2 linked regions of the Drosophila melanogaster genome follow. The protein of the gene in region 1 interacts with the protein of each later gene in a pairwise test. Each region holds a gene or a part of one and is shown in the gene's direction. Other genes may lie near its edges.

The links. Proteins that work in one complex are often made in the same cells at the same time.
Region 2: the proteins of CG43755 (region 1) and CG4496 interact in a two-hybrid assay, tested with the Drosophila melanogaster proteins (one large-scale study listed by BioGRID).

What each region holds. Positions count from the first base shown.
Region 1 is NT_033779.5:325,535-332,653, reverse strand, and holds CG43755 (uncharacterized protein), read left to right. Parts: upstream 1-2,892; 5' UTR 2,893-3,028; coding exon of another isoform or gene 3,029-3,031; coding exon 3,032-5,080; 3' UTR 5,081-5,225; downstream 5,226-7,119. Other genes in the region: CG31921 (uncharacterized protein), read left to right, coding at 522-2,663; Plc21C (phospholipase C at 21C), read right to left, coding at 6,830-6,976.
Region 2 is NT_033779.5:7,184,980-7,193,033, reverse strand, and holds CG4496 (uncharacterized protein), read left to right. Parts: upstream 1-3,023; 5' UTR 3,024-3,549; intron 3,550-4,965; exon of another isoform or gene 4,966-5,087; intron 5,088-5,392; 5' UTR 5,393-5,397; coding exon 5,398-6,202; intron 6,203-6,267; coding exon 6,268-7,205; 3' UTR 7,206-7,554; downstream 7,555-8,054. Other genes in the region: CG4497 (uncharacterized protein), read left to right, coding at 1-542, 984-1,632; MICU1 (mitochondrial calcium uptake 1), read right to left, coding at 7,742-7,896, 7,960-8,054.

The sequences.
Region 1 (7,119 bases):
CGCCCACTCAGTGCCTCCCAATCCTACGGGTCCCTTGGCTGCTAATCCTTTTGGCTCTGCCAGAAATTTGAATTTTAAGAAAGCTCATTATGTCCAAAGAGCAGGGGCGGGGCCGCAGGATGCTCGTGATAATTTTAGCCAGCTCAAACACAGTTATTGATTTTCGAGGTGCTAATAAAATAAAACTCAGCCCAAATGACACTTCTTAGTAAGTTATGAAAAGGAATTATTTGTTGAGAAAATTGCTGATTTCAAATCTATTTTCTTTCATAGAAACAAGCAACAAAAACATAGGTTTTGACTTTTGCTTTATAGTTTGCTGTATATTAAGTACTCCACGCGCTATCTGTCAGATGATTTTGTCTTATGTTAAAGGGCACAGATCAGATAGTTGTAAGAACCAGATGGGGAAAATACATTTTTTTTTTTAGATTTACAAAATTTATTCCTAAGGATACCAAAATAGGTCAGAGCTCTATATTCAAAATCCAGCTAATTCCACAGTCGCTAATTGTAAAAGTATGAGCAACAAGCAGTCGATCGACTCTCGCCGTGGATCGCACAATAAGCGAACCATACGCACCTCTGATATCGGGACTCTGGACACTGATATTATCCACACACCATACGAGTTAATGCGACAAAGGAATTGCAAAGCGGAAAAAATCATTAAATGGGAGCGGTATCCCAGCATTCGACCTCCAGTATCCAAATGCAGTAACGACCAAACCAGGAACTATCTGTCGGAGTCAGTAGATCAGGGAGGCTGTTTGGATCCCAGTACTAAGGGACAGGACGCTGTCAGGATCTGGAAATTAAGCCCGCACAAGAGCACTCTCAAGTTCTATGGAGTGGCCGATGGACTAAAGTTACCAGAGGCTGTTAAATTCGACAGGACTTTGACAACCAGCTTAAAACATGCAAACGGCTCCAGGAGACCAGTTCCAAAGCCACCGGTTCCACTAGAGCCAAAAAGACCTCCACAACCAGTTTCCCTGTGTCAGCCATATATCCTTAACAGGCAGACCCTCAAGGAGGAGCTTCAACGAATGCCCATTGCACTCCAGAAACTTAATCCCAAGGAGGCTTTTAATACGCTTTTTTGCGAGAAGCGTGAAGATCCGATGGATCCTCTGGGAGTGGAGGCGGCAACTAATCAAATCGTTAGCCTTAGAGAAGCTCTGGATATGGCGAAGCCGGAGACACCTTCAAAGCACGGATTGCGACGTAAGCACTGGTACTGCCCTTCAAAGTGTGGTGAGCCGGAAAACAAGTGCACTGTCTTTGAGTGGGCCCAGTACAAATTGAACCCGCCACCCTATGACAAAGCATTCTTCAAGTGGTTCCAGGAGCAGAAAGTGCAACTGGAGAGAGAGCCGCACGACTATGATGAGCTGTATAAGCGGTTCCAAGCCTGCTTCGAGGAAAAGGGTCAACCAGATCCCGAATGTGTTGCCATGGCGAAGTGTTGTCCGGATATGATCAAGGAAACGAAAGATGAATATGGAGTCGGAGAAGGGGGCACTGGCGGTGGAGGCGGCACACACAACACAAAAGAGGGTGATGGCCAAACGGGTTCTGGTGTATCTGGTCCTGAAGGTGTATCTCAGTCGGGAAAAGACAAAGAAAAAGGAAGGGTTAAGAAAAGTGACGATCTTGGAGATACTGAAAAAGATAAGGAAACCGATAAAAGTAAGAGCACGGGGAAAGATAATGAGAAGAATAAGGAGGACAAAGAAAAGGAAAAGGATAAGGGCAAGGATAAAGTGAAGGACAATGAAAAGGAAAAGGATAAGGGCAAGGATAAAGTGAAGGATAAAGACAAGGATGCGGACACTGATAAGGGCAAAAGCACAGACGAGGATAAAGGCAAACACAACGCTAAGGATAAAGACAAGAGCAAAGAAAAGGATAAAAATAACGATACGAATCAGAACAATAAAAAGAAAAATATAGCTGATCCTGATCATGAACAACTGAAGCCCAAACATCCTGGCAAGCAACCGAAGCCGCCGATCGAAAACACAACAGATACGTCCACTCACAACATATCCTCCTTTATTTCCAGGGATTCAGACAAAATATCGATTCAGGAAGATATTATCAAGGAGAAAGGAGATCCTTCAGCTAAGGATGGAGTGGAAGACAAGCCGACACAGCCGTCAAGTACGAAACCGCATAACAAGAAGCCGGCGAGCAAGAAACCACCAAAGGGGAAAACAGGCGAGGAAAAGCCCCAGAAGGTTGACGAGAAGGAAGTTAAAGAGTCCTGCCCACCTTGTCCTCCAGTGGGCTGCGCGTGCACAATTTGCGACTGCCTCTATGGCACGAAGATTCCAATTTCCCCGAAGATGCAATCGATTATGGCCGAGGAAAAACTTCGCGAAAAGAGGGAATACCTTCGGCGGATGCGGCACCGGGCGTACATGGATTGCACTAGTGAAAAGCCACTGGTCCCCCAGCACAAGGTGGATCCCATCAGCTGCGACAACTGCTTCTGTCTAGATCCCAAGATATCCGAATACTGTGAGTGCTTGAGAGCTCTTCAACACTTGCAGCGGCTCCTTGGAAAGGAACGTCATAGGATCGTAAACAACGAGCTTATATTCAACCTCGATGATCTCCGGCAGCGAATCGCCAACCGTATGTGCAAGTGCTTCTGAGAACTGTTTTTTTTTTGGTCAGTATAATTGGCTTGTAAGTGTATTTTTCAAAATTTGACAATTGAGTAATAAATATTCCCTAAAAAAAAGCATTTGGAAACCCTGTTTTATTATTAGAGGTCACTAAGTTTATGGAATGTAAATTCCTCAGTCGGCTCTGAAAGCCCTTTCAAAGGAAGATGCTGATATTTTTTGTAAGCCATTCTCAGTATTTTATCATGTGTTCAGCAAACAACACCTAAATTTAAAAAAAAAGCCTGTTTTATTTTGGTTCCCAGATTGAGCTTAACCGTATTTAACCATTAAACAATATTGGACCCGAATCGGATAAACACTCCAAGCTTGGGGAATAAGACGATACCGCAATGATGGGCACACGGGCTGCGGAGCCCCGAGGATCCAGGAGGTCCTTGGCAGGTCAAAGCATTCAAGAGCTCTCTGTGTGCCAGGAACCCGACCCGCTAAACACCTTTTTGGAGAAACCACTTACCCTGTATCAGTGGATGCGGTGGCGCAACTGCAAGACCCATAAGCCGCACCTAGAGGAAACATACCCCAGCATTCTACCGCCTATATCCAAATGTGACGATGCCAAGACTCTGAAGTACGTTGAAAATGCCATGGAGGCCAACAAATGTAAAGAATACGTCAAGGAAGACGTGCTGACCGTGTGGAACTACAGTCCCCAAAAGGAATCCTTGGTGTGGTATGGCGTTAAATCGCAGTACCCGTCTCCACAGGCCGTCCTCTATGACCGCGCTTTGAAAAAGAGCCTAAAGGCGGCTAGTCTTGCTCCAAAACCGCCGAAGAAGTCCAACATAAAGCCTAAATGGCAACTTCAGAAGAAGCCCCCCCAGCCTGGCGCTTTTGTTTTAAATCGAAAATGTCTGAAGGCCAAGCTCGAAAGGATGCCAAACATAAAACGCCAACTGAAGTCGAACAATGTCTTCTCCTGGCTTCACTGTCCTCAGCCAGCGGATCCGAGCAATCCTTTTGACGATAGCGCCGTCTATCCAGCGATCAGCATAGAACAGGCGATGGACATGGCGAAGCCGGAAAAGCCTCCCAAACATGGCCTCAGACGTAAGCATTGGTACTGCCCCCCGAAATGCGGCGAGGCAGAGAGCAAGTGCACCGATTACGAGTGGGCAAAGTACAAGATGGATCCCCGGCCCGACAACGAGGCATTCCAACGCGAGATGGCGAACCAAAAGGCCTTTAAACAACCGGAGCCCCGCAACTACGATGAACTGTACAAATCGCTGGTAACTTGTTTCGTTCAAGACCCAAATGGAAAGAATGATCTCTGCGAAGCGCTGGAGAAGTGCTGCAGGGATCCCAAAGATCCACCTGCACAGGGTTGCAGCGAGTTCGTTCCGGATGGCGCCGGAGGAGATGGTGAGTCGGCAGTTGATAAGGACAAGGGTAGGGATAAGGACGTGGACATTGACATACACGTGGACATTGACAAAGACGTGGACATTGACAAAGACAAGCGAAAAGACAAAGGGAAAACGGGTGATGGTGACAATGAAAATGAAGGTATCGGCGACGGTGACGGTGAAAAAGGTGGACAGAACGATAAGGGCAAGCACGAAAAGGGTGATGGAGAAGGAAACAAGGGATCTGAAAAAGATGGAGGGGAAAAAAAACCGGCAAAACAGAACGAAGTCAAAGAAAACGACAAGGAAAAAGGCATGGAAAAAGGCAAGGAAAAAGGCAAGGAAAAAGGCAAGGAAAAGAAGACCAAAGAGCCAAACTTTAGATCCTCTGAGGACCGTCCTCCAGTGCCCCAAAGTAAAGATACTACTCACGGGACCGAAGAAAGTCACCATGGTGACGGCGACTTCGGTGGTCCTGATGGCGATAGAGAAAAAGGCAAGAACCAGCCTGACGGGAAAAGCGGTATCGTAGATCAAAACCAGGGAAAAGACAAGGACAAGGGCAAAGGTAAGGAGAAAGGCATGAATAAGAAGGGAAAGGGTAAAAAGAAACCGAAAGATAAGGATGAGGATAAGAATACCAAGGACAACCGGAGTGAAAAGGACTGCCCCTGCGAGATTTGTTGTCCGCCAAAAGAAGAGGACACTCCGCTGATCAAGGAGATGCGCCGGCGGGATCGAGAGCGCCAGGTGCGCGATTACCTCCGCCAAATGCGTCACCGGCAATACATGGAGTGCAAGGACCTCAAATACCCGAGCCCACACCATAAGTGTGATCCAATCCAGTGCAACAACCAGTTCTGTAGCAATCCACGTATGCAAACTCATTTCGCCAGAGTCCAGGCAGTGCGAAGCTTGCAGCAGATCCTGCAGAGAAGAAATCGACAAGGCGATGTCAAAATCTCCAAGGATCTGGACTCACTTTTAGCAAGGCTGTGCAATAGCCTGACAATAAGTGATGGTCACTGCAGATGACCCCGCTTCGACTGTGTTTTGGTGATGTCTAACGAGTCCGAGTCCGCATTTGTAACTTGTGCCTAAGTTTTTGTGTCATAACGGTATTGTGCTAATTTAAAGCGATCTTAATTGCGTCCTTTAAATAAACTCGAATCCCAAGCTGAGCCCTGGACTAGTAGTCAATTCATTAATGCACACAGCGAAGGCGGGGTCTCTGCTCTTAAATGTATGCTATGCTTTTCGTGGCTTTCTGTTAATCACACATGGGCCTGCGAGTGTGTGTTTGGGCGTGGTCAGCGCCCACCAACTCGTGCGAGTAATTAATGAATGATTCCTTGCCAAAGGGTTTTTCGTTTCGAGACAGACAGCTTTTCTCATTAATTCTGATAAAGCTGTTTCGTTGGCAACAACACAAATTTTCTTAACATTTATGTACCCTAAATGTGTATGATTGAATTGTTACTCTACCACTCTACACTCTACAATTTCATCTATCCGAATATTGGAAATAAGTTCATTTTAAACCAGATAGTTTAACCTACAAAACTGGCCTATCTTTTATTCACGCCTTATTTAGCGGTTAGGTTTGTAGAGCGTTGTCAACATTCATTGTTTAAATTCCTCCGGTCCCGCAAAGACCGCTTTCATTTCCAAACTTTTCCGGCGCTGTTAGTTTGCCTCGGGCAAACTGAAAGGAAAACCAAACTCATTTGCCTTTGGCCTTGGGCCTGCCGCGCTCCACAGCAACAACTGCAACTATTATCGGGGCCGCGAGCGGTGGGCGTTGCCCTAGGAGGACCAACATGATTTATGCATGGCGAAAAAGCGGCTCTGACGCCCAAGGATTTCCCCATTGGAATAATTGCCCTAATGGCTGGGACCAAGAAAAAAGAGGAGCAGCGTTTGTAGGACTTTAATTTCATAATGTGCCGCAAATTGTCCAGATGGAATAGTGAAAGTTTCGAATGACTTCTTCAGGGCCAAGCTGCTTACATAGAATGCTGGTCAATTGCACAAAAGCAGGAGTCGAACCATCCTTGCCTTCTCATTGCTAAGATATATGTGTGTATTAGCGTCATGGAAAAAAGAGGTATTCCGAATCCGCACAACAATAAATGGAAAATTGTGTTAAGCTGAAAAAGCGTGACAGCCGTGAAGGCGCAACTAACTATGGAAAACTCTTGCCAAACGCACACATTACAATGGGGATACTGATTCCTATTCCGATTCCGGGCCCGGCGCACGTGACTTGGTTAGGAAATCTAAACGGGGAATTGGGCGGGTTCACCCTTGCTCCCATCCTCTGAAAATATCTTCACATACCTGACCCAGTAATTGGCTTTCCAAGAAGGCCAGGTAGCAGTGAGAAGCATTTACCCAAAAGATTAATATTGCCCAAAAGATTAATATACACTAGCTATACTTTACTATGGTATTTGTGTGCATCGCGAAAAAGTAACAACCGCCTACATTGCTCAATTTACGTGCTTAAAACAGAGACTTATTTCTTTTTTTATTTTTGCATTTCAGAAGTTTGTGGTTGCTGCGGTAAATGCTGCTGCTCAAGGAAGAAGGGAGGAGAATCCTGCGAAGTAAAGCCCATTATGACAAGGACGGATGAATGCGATGGTAAAATCAGCGAAGAATGCTCTCTCCCATCTGGCATTGATTCTATTGACAAACCCCAAGAACCAGCTACCCAAGGAGCGACTAAAGAGTAGAAATCAAGTATACGCCACGGATGCATTTTTTAAGAAGTATACGCACCTTTGGTCGCTTAGCGTACTGTCCTGTGCGAACGTCGCGTATGGTGGCTATATCAAGGATATCCAGCTCGTTGTTCTGGTCGACCCAGTAGAGGAAGAAGCCCTTGGCATCGACGCGCATTGTAACCGGTGTTCCAGTGCCCGAGTCCTGAAATCAGATGAAGAAACCGCATGAGAACCAAAAATGAAGCAGGCTGAAATGAAGACGAACCCTAGTCGTTATTAATAGCGCGAATGATAATCAAAGCGCGTATTCTTTCGATTCGGGTCCAATAAATTGTAAACACATGA
Region 2 (8,054 bases), 6.9 Mb from region 1:
AGGGAGGTTTCACCGGCTCCCGTCTTCAATATATTCACACCTCGAGCCAGAAGGTATTCGGCCAGCTATAGTCCACTGACCACGGCAGCCAATGGAGCCACTCTCTGTCTCACGCCTCGAGTTTCGCAGCTGCGGCAGGAGGAATGCGCAGATCTAAACAGCCGGGAGGTTAACCATGAGCGGGAAGTTCATCGGGAAATACAAATTTCGCAGAGCTGGGAGGATCTCACGCTGGTGGCCGAGAACTGGTCGTGCAAATCGGACGAGTTCTCCAATCCCCTGCAGGTCAGCCTGCCACCCACCGGCACCACCAGCTGCTCCAGTCCCAGTCCCACAAACAATCGCGCGGGCATGAGATTACCATACTCCCCGTCGCCGACGAGACGTACTTTCGCCACCAGGCGGTCGATGTCTCCCATAGCCATGAGGCCATCCCAGCTGGGACCCGTGAAGAGAAAATTTGAGCTGGACGATAACCCCACTCAGGGCAGCAACTGGAGCGTGTACTCACCTCCGCCTGTGAAGAAGATATTCACGGAAAGGTAAGATATTGAGTAGTGGGTTTTGAACCTAAGTAATTCTGGGTGGTATCAAGTTAAGTAACTTGACCTTAGTGGGTTGATTTTGGAAAAATAGTCACCTCAATCATTTGTACTCAGTAAAATAGGCTTTATTGCACCTAAAACATCAGTTTTGTTAGTATTTTAGCTCGAATTTGCTTGAAGTCTAAAATTATATTACTTTGGGCCTCTTGTAAAATTTAAATTTAGATATTTTCGGCCAAGTTGCAGTTGTTGAAGCGGCTATAAATAATAGCTTTGAGGTACGAGTAGCATTAATTTAATTATATTAGATTGGCAATAGTATATGTGCAAGTAAGTGTGTTACTTGCTGAATGATTCGAGTAAGGGTAAAATTAGATGCTAGTACGAACATTTATCTATGTTTTCATGCTTATTCATCACTTCCCCTTCCCATTTCAGTCGCGGCTCCTCACCGGTGTGCCAATCGCCCTCGTCGGTGTGTCCCAGTCCCGATTCCGGAACCTTTGACGGCCGCCTCACGCCCAAGTTGTTCATCTCGAAGCTGTGCACAAGCAATTCGGTGAGCGGAAATGGGATAAATAACAATAGCAGCAGCTCGGGATGTCCGTCGCCTGTTTCCGCCTCGCCCGGAGGTGTTGGCAGCGGTCCCAATCTGGAGGCAGCCATGTGCCTCGTTTCCGGCGGCAGTCAGAGCCAAAGCATCGACGAGGGTATCTCGATACCCGAATCGGAGACGCACTCCTGCCGCAGTCGCACCTCTTCCATAGTGTCCACCGCATCGTCCAGTACGCAGGTGCTGGTCAACGACCTGGTGGATGATGCCACTCTGATGGACGATGCCAAAAGTGAGACCTCATCGATCGGTGGATGCTCCACCATTAGCATAGAGTCATCCTCCTGCGATAGTGGTGCCAAGACGGCTGCCACTTTCCTGAATCGCCTGGTGGTTGATTCCGATGGCGGTGGTTCGCCGCTGGCCCAAAAGAGCTTCTACATTAACAAGCAGGGATTGTCGGGCGCCAAGAAGTTTGTGGTCAATCACGAGCGAACGGGAGCCGTCAGCAAAGATGTGCCGCAAAAGCTTTAAGAACATACACAGATTAACTTAGTTTAGGGGTCGATTTTAGGAAATTCTAAGAAATGCTTATAATCTCAGGAGCCAAAAGTTAATCATTGCTGCACTTTAGCTGATTTGTTTTGAATGCTTTAGAAAATATTTTCGAATAAAATTGCATAGCTTGATCATTTTTAAGTTCTAAAACTCAACCAAAGGTTTTGTTATAAAAACCACAAGCAATATTTTTTTAGAAAGAAAATTGAATTAAGAATACCTTTGGTGTAATATGTAAAGGATTAAAAATGGTTTAAAATGTATATTTCCCGTAGTGTTCAAAACAAATCTTCGTGGAAGAGACAAAAGATAAATTAGTGGTACTTTGATTTTTGTTTAAGAAAATCGACCCGAAATAACCAATTACACACACACGCTTAAGTTGAGAGTTTCAAAAGATCCTCCGACTTGCTTAACTTTAGATCGTAGCTTTGTTGTACATAGTTAAGTTGTTTGTCTGAAGTTCTAAACCATCTTGCATATCATTTAACGCTGCGCACTTCCCTTCACCCCTAGAATCAATCGGTTTTAATATGTTAGCCTAAGGTTCACTATACTATATATAGCCAGAGTTTATTGCCTCGATCTTTGTGTTATAGAATGTTTTCCCATTTCCAATGTTTCGGTTAATAATCGACGTACATTAGTTTTGTTTTTAGTCGCCACCTCACCCCTTAGATATTAGGAAGAAAACCCCAATTTTGCCAAATATGTTTATTCTATGCTTATGTGTAATAATATATCCAGCATTATATTGCCTATAATGTGATCCAATTTAGCGCGGATATCTGCGCGTATCCCACAAAAACCTTACTGATATAGTAACGCATATATTATATAGATTTACGATCCGATTCTAATTATCGTAAGCGAATTTACATAGTTTCAAGAAAAAAAGTTATACTTAAAAAGGATCCAAAAAGAAATACACATTTTTTCAATTGATCAAATTGTTTGTTTTCATTGGTTGGCTTAAACAATTAACTACTATATAAATAATTAAATAAATATGTTAACTAGATTATAAATAGCGACTTAAGTAAAAAGTATCTCGCGGGCAGTGAACTTGACCATATTTTATGTACATAAGATACTAAACCTAAAGCAAGAAAGTGCCTATTCAAAATGAGTATATTTCAGATAGAAAATGCACAATTCCTACGGCCATAGCATTCATTACTTTATAAATATTAAAAGCAGGTATAATTTATATTATTATATATACAACTTTTATGAGTATGCCTAGAATAACGTCGCCCAGCGTAATATCGTGCCAGCCACATGAAGCACCTGCAAGCTCGAGTAAGTATCCACATACACGATATGCACACACACGCACCGAAAAGTTCGAACACCTGGGTAATGAGAAGCCGAGCATTGCTCCCCAAATCCCCAATCCCCATTCGCAAACAGCGACATACTGGTTTCCCCACACAGATAGGACACAATGCACATGGCCAGATGCTCGTGCCTTGAACACGGACGAACCAATCCCGCAGACCAGAAGATAGAAGCCAGGGACCGAGACCGACCGAGACCGATAAACCAGGCCGTTTCCACACGGACCAAGTCGAGTGGGTGTCTGTGGACGTGTGAGGGGATCCGATACAAACGAGTTTTATAGCAAAAAAAAAAAAAAAAAAAAAACAACAAAATAAGATAACTAAGCGCTGCAGTCACGATCGCCAATATTTCGAGACCGAGAGACCAAAGCAATCGGGAGCCTAGCCCAAAGCATTCGAAGCGGATCTGGGAACCTGGCTCCATATATCACAGGGGCAGAACCCCACTACCCACGCCAATGGAATACAAATTAGAAGAAAACACGCTATCCTAGGCAGCCAAAAGTGACTCAAAAGTGATTATATAAGTCGGATGCGAAAAAATATAAAGGTGAGTTTGTCTCTTCCTGTTTAAATATGGTTAGTTATTTAGAATATGTATGTATGTATAAGATTATCTCTTAATTGCTGAATGCTTTAAATTTATTTAATTTTATTTGAATTTAATAATTATTTAAATCACAGGATGAAGGATGAGAAACATGTTTACGTTTTCAAAATCGAAAACTAGTCAAATTTGTCGTATATGGCTTATCGTAAAGGCTTATACTAAACAAAACGCGAATATTAGTAATTTTTCACCTGCAAGCCATTTTTTAACACTCCATAAAAAACGATCGCGGGTTTTCAGGCATTTATGGGCATTTTACCGAAGATCGCCCTGAAAATGGAAAATAACCAAAGAAGCGGCCAATAATTAAAGTCAATTACTTAGATATATGTACATATGTACGAAGGTACATATGTATATACTTGCATAAAAAGGAAACCAACAACAAAAAGCTAAAAATAAGAAGAAAAGCAAATGCGAATAAAAAAAGTTGAAGGCGCACGGTTTTACTTTAGCGCTGCTGCTCGGACGTCAATAAATTTTTTTTCGACGTCGACGTTGACGTTGACAGCGGCGTTGGCGCTGGCTACGCCGTTGTTGTTGCCTTTTACGCTTTGGTCACGCTGCTCCCTTTTCGTTGCTCCTCTACCCCCTCCCACCGCGCTCTCGCCATGCTTCCGTACTCCCACTCGCCCACTCTCTCGCCCACCTCCCCCTTGATATCACTCTCCAGCTCTCTTTTCGCCTCTCTGCACGGGCGTAAGCATTTGCGTCGAAGGGGGTTATTTGCCCCAACCACAATAAATACTTTAAATTTTTAATCCTACATTATCGTTCCTATTTAACAAAAAGCAAATTATCTTTTTTTTGGCATTTCATTGAAGATTAGATCGTTGTTATATACAAGTATATATAGTAAGGAATTCCTTTCACTCCTGGTAACCTCACCCCTTCTCATGTCCTGCCTACGCCCCTGCTCTTGTGAGCAATCTTGAAAATCGTGAGTTGTTGTTGCTGCTGCGCCTGTTGCTCCGGCTGTAATTGCATTGTTTTTGTTGTTGCCCTTGTTGTTGTTGTGGGGCATTTTCTTTGTTTTTCGTGTTTCGCTCTTGCGTGGCCCCAAGAAAAATCAAGTTAACACGCCAATGGGCAGTGGTGGGAAAGGGGGGCTAAAGGCTCACGTTCGTGCACACAAAAAAAAAGCCTTAAGCGCTGCCCACATGGTTGTTGTTGTTGTTGCTGCTGCTGCTCTGCTCGCTTCGCTGATTCACAAGCCGGGCAGCGCAGTCGGCGTCAACTCGAAGCTCGACTTTTGCGGCGTTTTGTTGTTTTTGCCGAGAGGTTGCTGCTCGGCAAGCCGCAAATCGCGAATCGCGAATCCAGTTTCTTCTTCACTTCTTCGCACGGCAGACGCAGCGCCGAGCGCACAAATTGCGGATAAAAAACGAAAGAAAGGAGCGAAGCTTTGTAAAGTGTGAGAGAGGGGTGTGTGTGCAATCGCAGAATTCATTCGATCGGAATCTCCTGGGTTATCAATGGTTCGTATGCGACTTGTCCAGGATATTAATATAAACCAATACAGGCTATTCAATGTGATCGATGGAAATGTAGTGCCCTATAATATATTCTTTTTTTATGGTTTGAGAGGTTTTATTGTGATTATTCGATACTAGAAAGTACGCTTCTTGGAAATACTGATAAGTGCCGATTTATCCATAGTAGAATGTGATTTATATAAAACACGCCTACATGTATGCAATGTTTTTTTCTGATAGTACAATGATAGTGCAATTCTTACGTTCCTTTCTTAAACTTTTCTAAATTGTTTATTGTAACATTGCAGATTTGATGGAGCTGGCTCTGAATAAACCATCATCCTGCGTGGACTGCTGCAAGGACTGCACTCTGCTGCCCTGCTGTTCTGCCTCCGCCTGCTGCGACGCTAGCTGCGACGCCGCCTGCGGGTTAATACCGCCCGATCCAGTCAGATATGAGTACCAGGAGCCCGAGGAGAACTTCATATCCATTGATGATGTGAAAATCAAGAGTTTCCTGTGGCAAATCGGCCAGCAGCAGAGGGAAAAGGAGTTGGAAATCAAAAGGATCATGGAACAAGAGAAAAGGGAGAAAAGAGAGAAGGAAAGGCGGGAGGCCGAAAAGCGAAGAGATCAAGAGGTAATCGAATTGGACGAGGAGGAGGCTCAATCTCCTCGGGGTCTCATAATCAGCGCAGCCAGGAGTCTAGCCCATTGGAATTCATCCATTAGGAGGGTAACACCAGATATCGAACTGATTCCCAGACGGGTGCACAGGGTTGTCGCAGAAATCGAACTGAGTGATAGTGATCACGATGAAGATAGTGAAGTAGATGAGGATGTAAGTCTTCCATCAAACGCTGTAAGCTGCGTCCTGAATGAGCAGAGACAGGATGGAAGCCAGAATCCACAGGAACTGGTGATCATCGTGCCCTCCGACCAGGAGGACGAACAGAAGACAGACAATGTCATCAAGAGGAAATCTTCTGGGTCGAGGAGATTAGTAAAGAGGCGTCCAGGTGCCAACAGAAGGGGAAGGCATATGTACGAATGTCCTGACTGCGGGAAGAAAGTGCAATCTAATTACAATCTAAGACGTCATATGATGATCCACACAGGTACGAAACTTCGCATAAAATATTCAAATACCTCCACTTATCACTTTCTACTAAATTTTCCCCAGGTGAAAGACCATTCCCTTGTGATCTGTGCGAGCGACGTTTTCGGGAATTCAGCGATCTTAAAAAGCATCGTCGAAGGCACTCACACGATCCACAATTCATTTGCATGATCTGTCACTTGGGAGCACCTTTGGAGCAGGACTCTACAAGGTGTGCGGATTGTGAAAGCAAGAATCTTATGGTAAAACCTCAACCAGAGGAACTGGGCGAAAAAACAACGGAGGAACATTCGGATGAGATGGAAGGGGATGATGACGAAATAGAGGAAGCGGCTCTAGAAAATGAGAAGCAGCCACAAGTGGCAACACAACCCAGTTTAATGGTTACTTTAATACCACCTATTCAATCTCCACCGGAAAAAGTTCCTTCACACACGCAGCCAAGTCGCCCGCCACTTCCTCGCAGCTGCAGCAGTGCCAACTCCTCATCTTCCTTGAGCAACGATGGAAATATAGCTGGAAAGTCCATGAGTCGCACTCGCAGATCTTATCCGTGTCCTTTGTGTCATCGTCCTTTCGGAACTCGTCATAATCTTAAACGCCACTATATGATCCATACTGGCGAGAAACCATTTAGCTGCTCAAAATGCAGGAAACCCTTCAGGGAGTGCTCCACGCTCAAGAAACACATGGTCACCCATGTCAGGGATCGCTGGTACAAGTGCCTGAGGTGTCCCTCCAAATTCAGGGACTATCTGGAGTACTCGGATCACAAGAACAATCATCAGGATCAGCTGAGTAGCCGCAAGTCGTCCATTTACGAGAGTGACGACGATGGCGACAGTTCTGTGGAAGATTGCCTAGAGTGCTGCGAGTGTCAGCAACGATTCACCGAGTTGGATGCTTATACGGCCCATCTTAAAAAGCACGACTTGGAGTTGTACGGGATGAGCATTGATGATGTGGCGGACGAGGAGCAGGATGACGTAGATGTGGCATAGAAAATGTTTTGAGCCCACAATTAATATTAACTGCGCGAGAGTTGTAAACTCTTGGTCATTCTTTTTAATGCATAAAGAGGATTGAAAATCCCATATTTCATATAAATTAGCTATTAAGGATCATTAAAACATTCCTTATTAATATATTCATATCTTTTTAAAGTGTTTTATATCACTATTAATTTATTCATTCATATTCTTTTTTAAGCACTTATAATACACTTTTGAAATGTAAAATGTAACGTGCGCCATAATCCAAGAACTGAATGATGAGCTACAGCAAAAATTCCTAAAGATGTACTTATTTATAAATATAATATTTTTATTAAAAAATAAACGAGTTAAGTGCACAAGAGACGGTGAAATATACAGAAGACAGTCGTCAACCTGCCGGGGGTCGAACAATTACAAAGATTGAGCTAAAATCGATTGATGTAAACGTTAACTACAAAAATAAATAGTAAAAAGCGTAAGCGTAGGAAAAAGTGACTAAGATTGGGGCGCTTGAAGCGGGAGAATCCACATAGTGACGATCTTTAGATGTCCAGCAGCACAGGCTTGGTTTCCTTGGCGCACTTGAACACCGATCGCATCATCTTTAGGAATCCTGTGTCTTTGGGTTTCTCCAATCCGCGCTGCACGCGATTCTTCATTACCGAAATAAATTCCTTGTTGCTGAGTTGGTTGTCATCTGAAAGAGGTTTGCCGAATGAATTAAGATTGTTATTCTAATTACACTCAATTACGAACTTACTATTCTCATCAAAGATGGTAAAGACCACATCCACCACATGATCCGAAAGATTGACCATGGCCACCGTTTTGGCCACATGTTGCAATGTTTGTTGG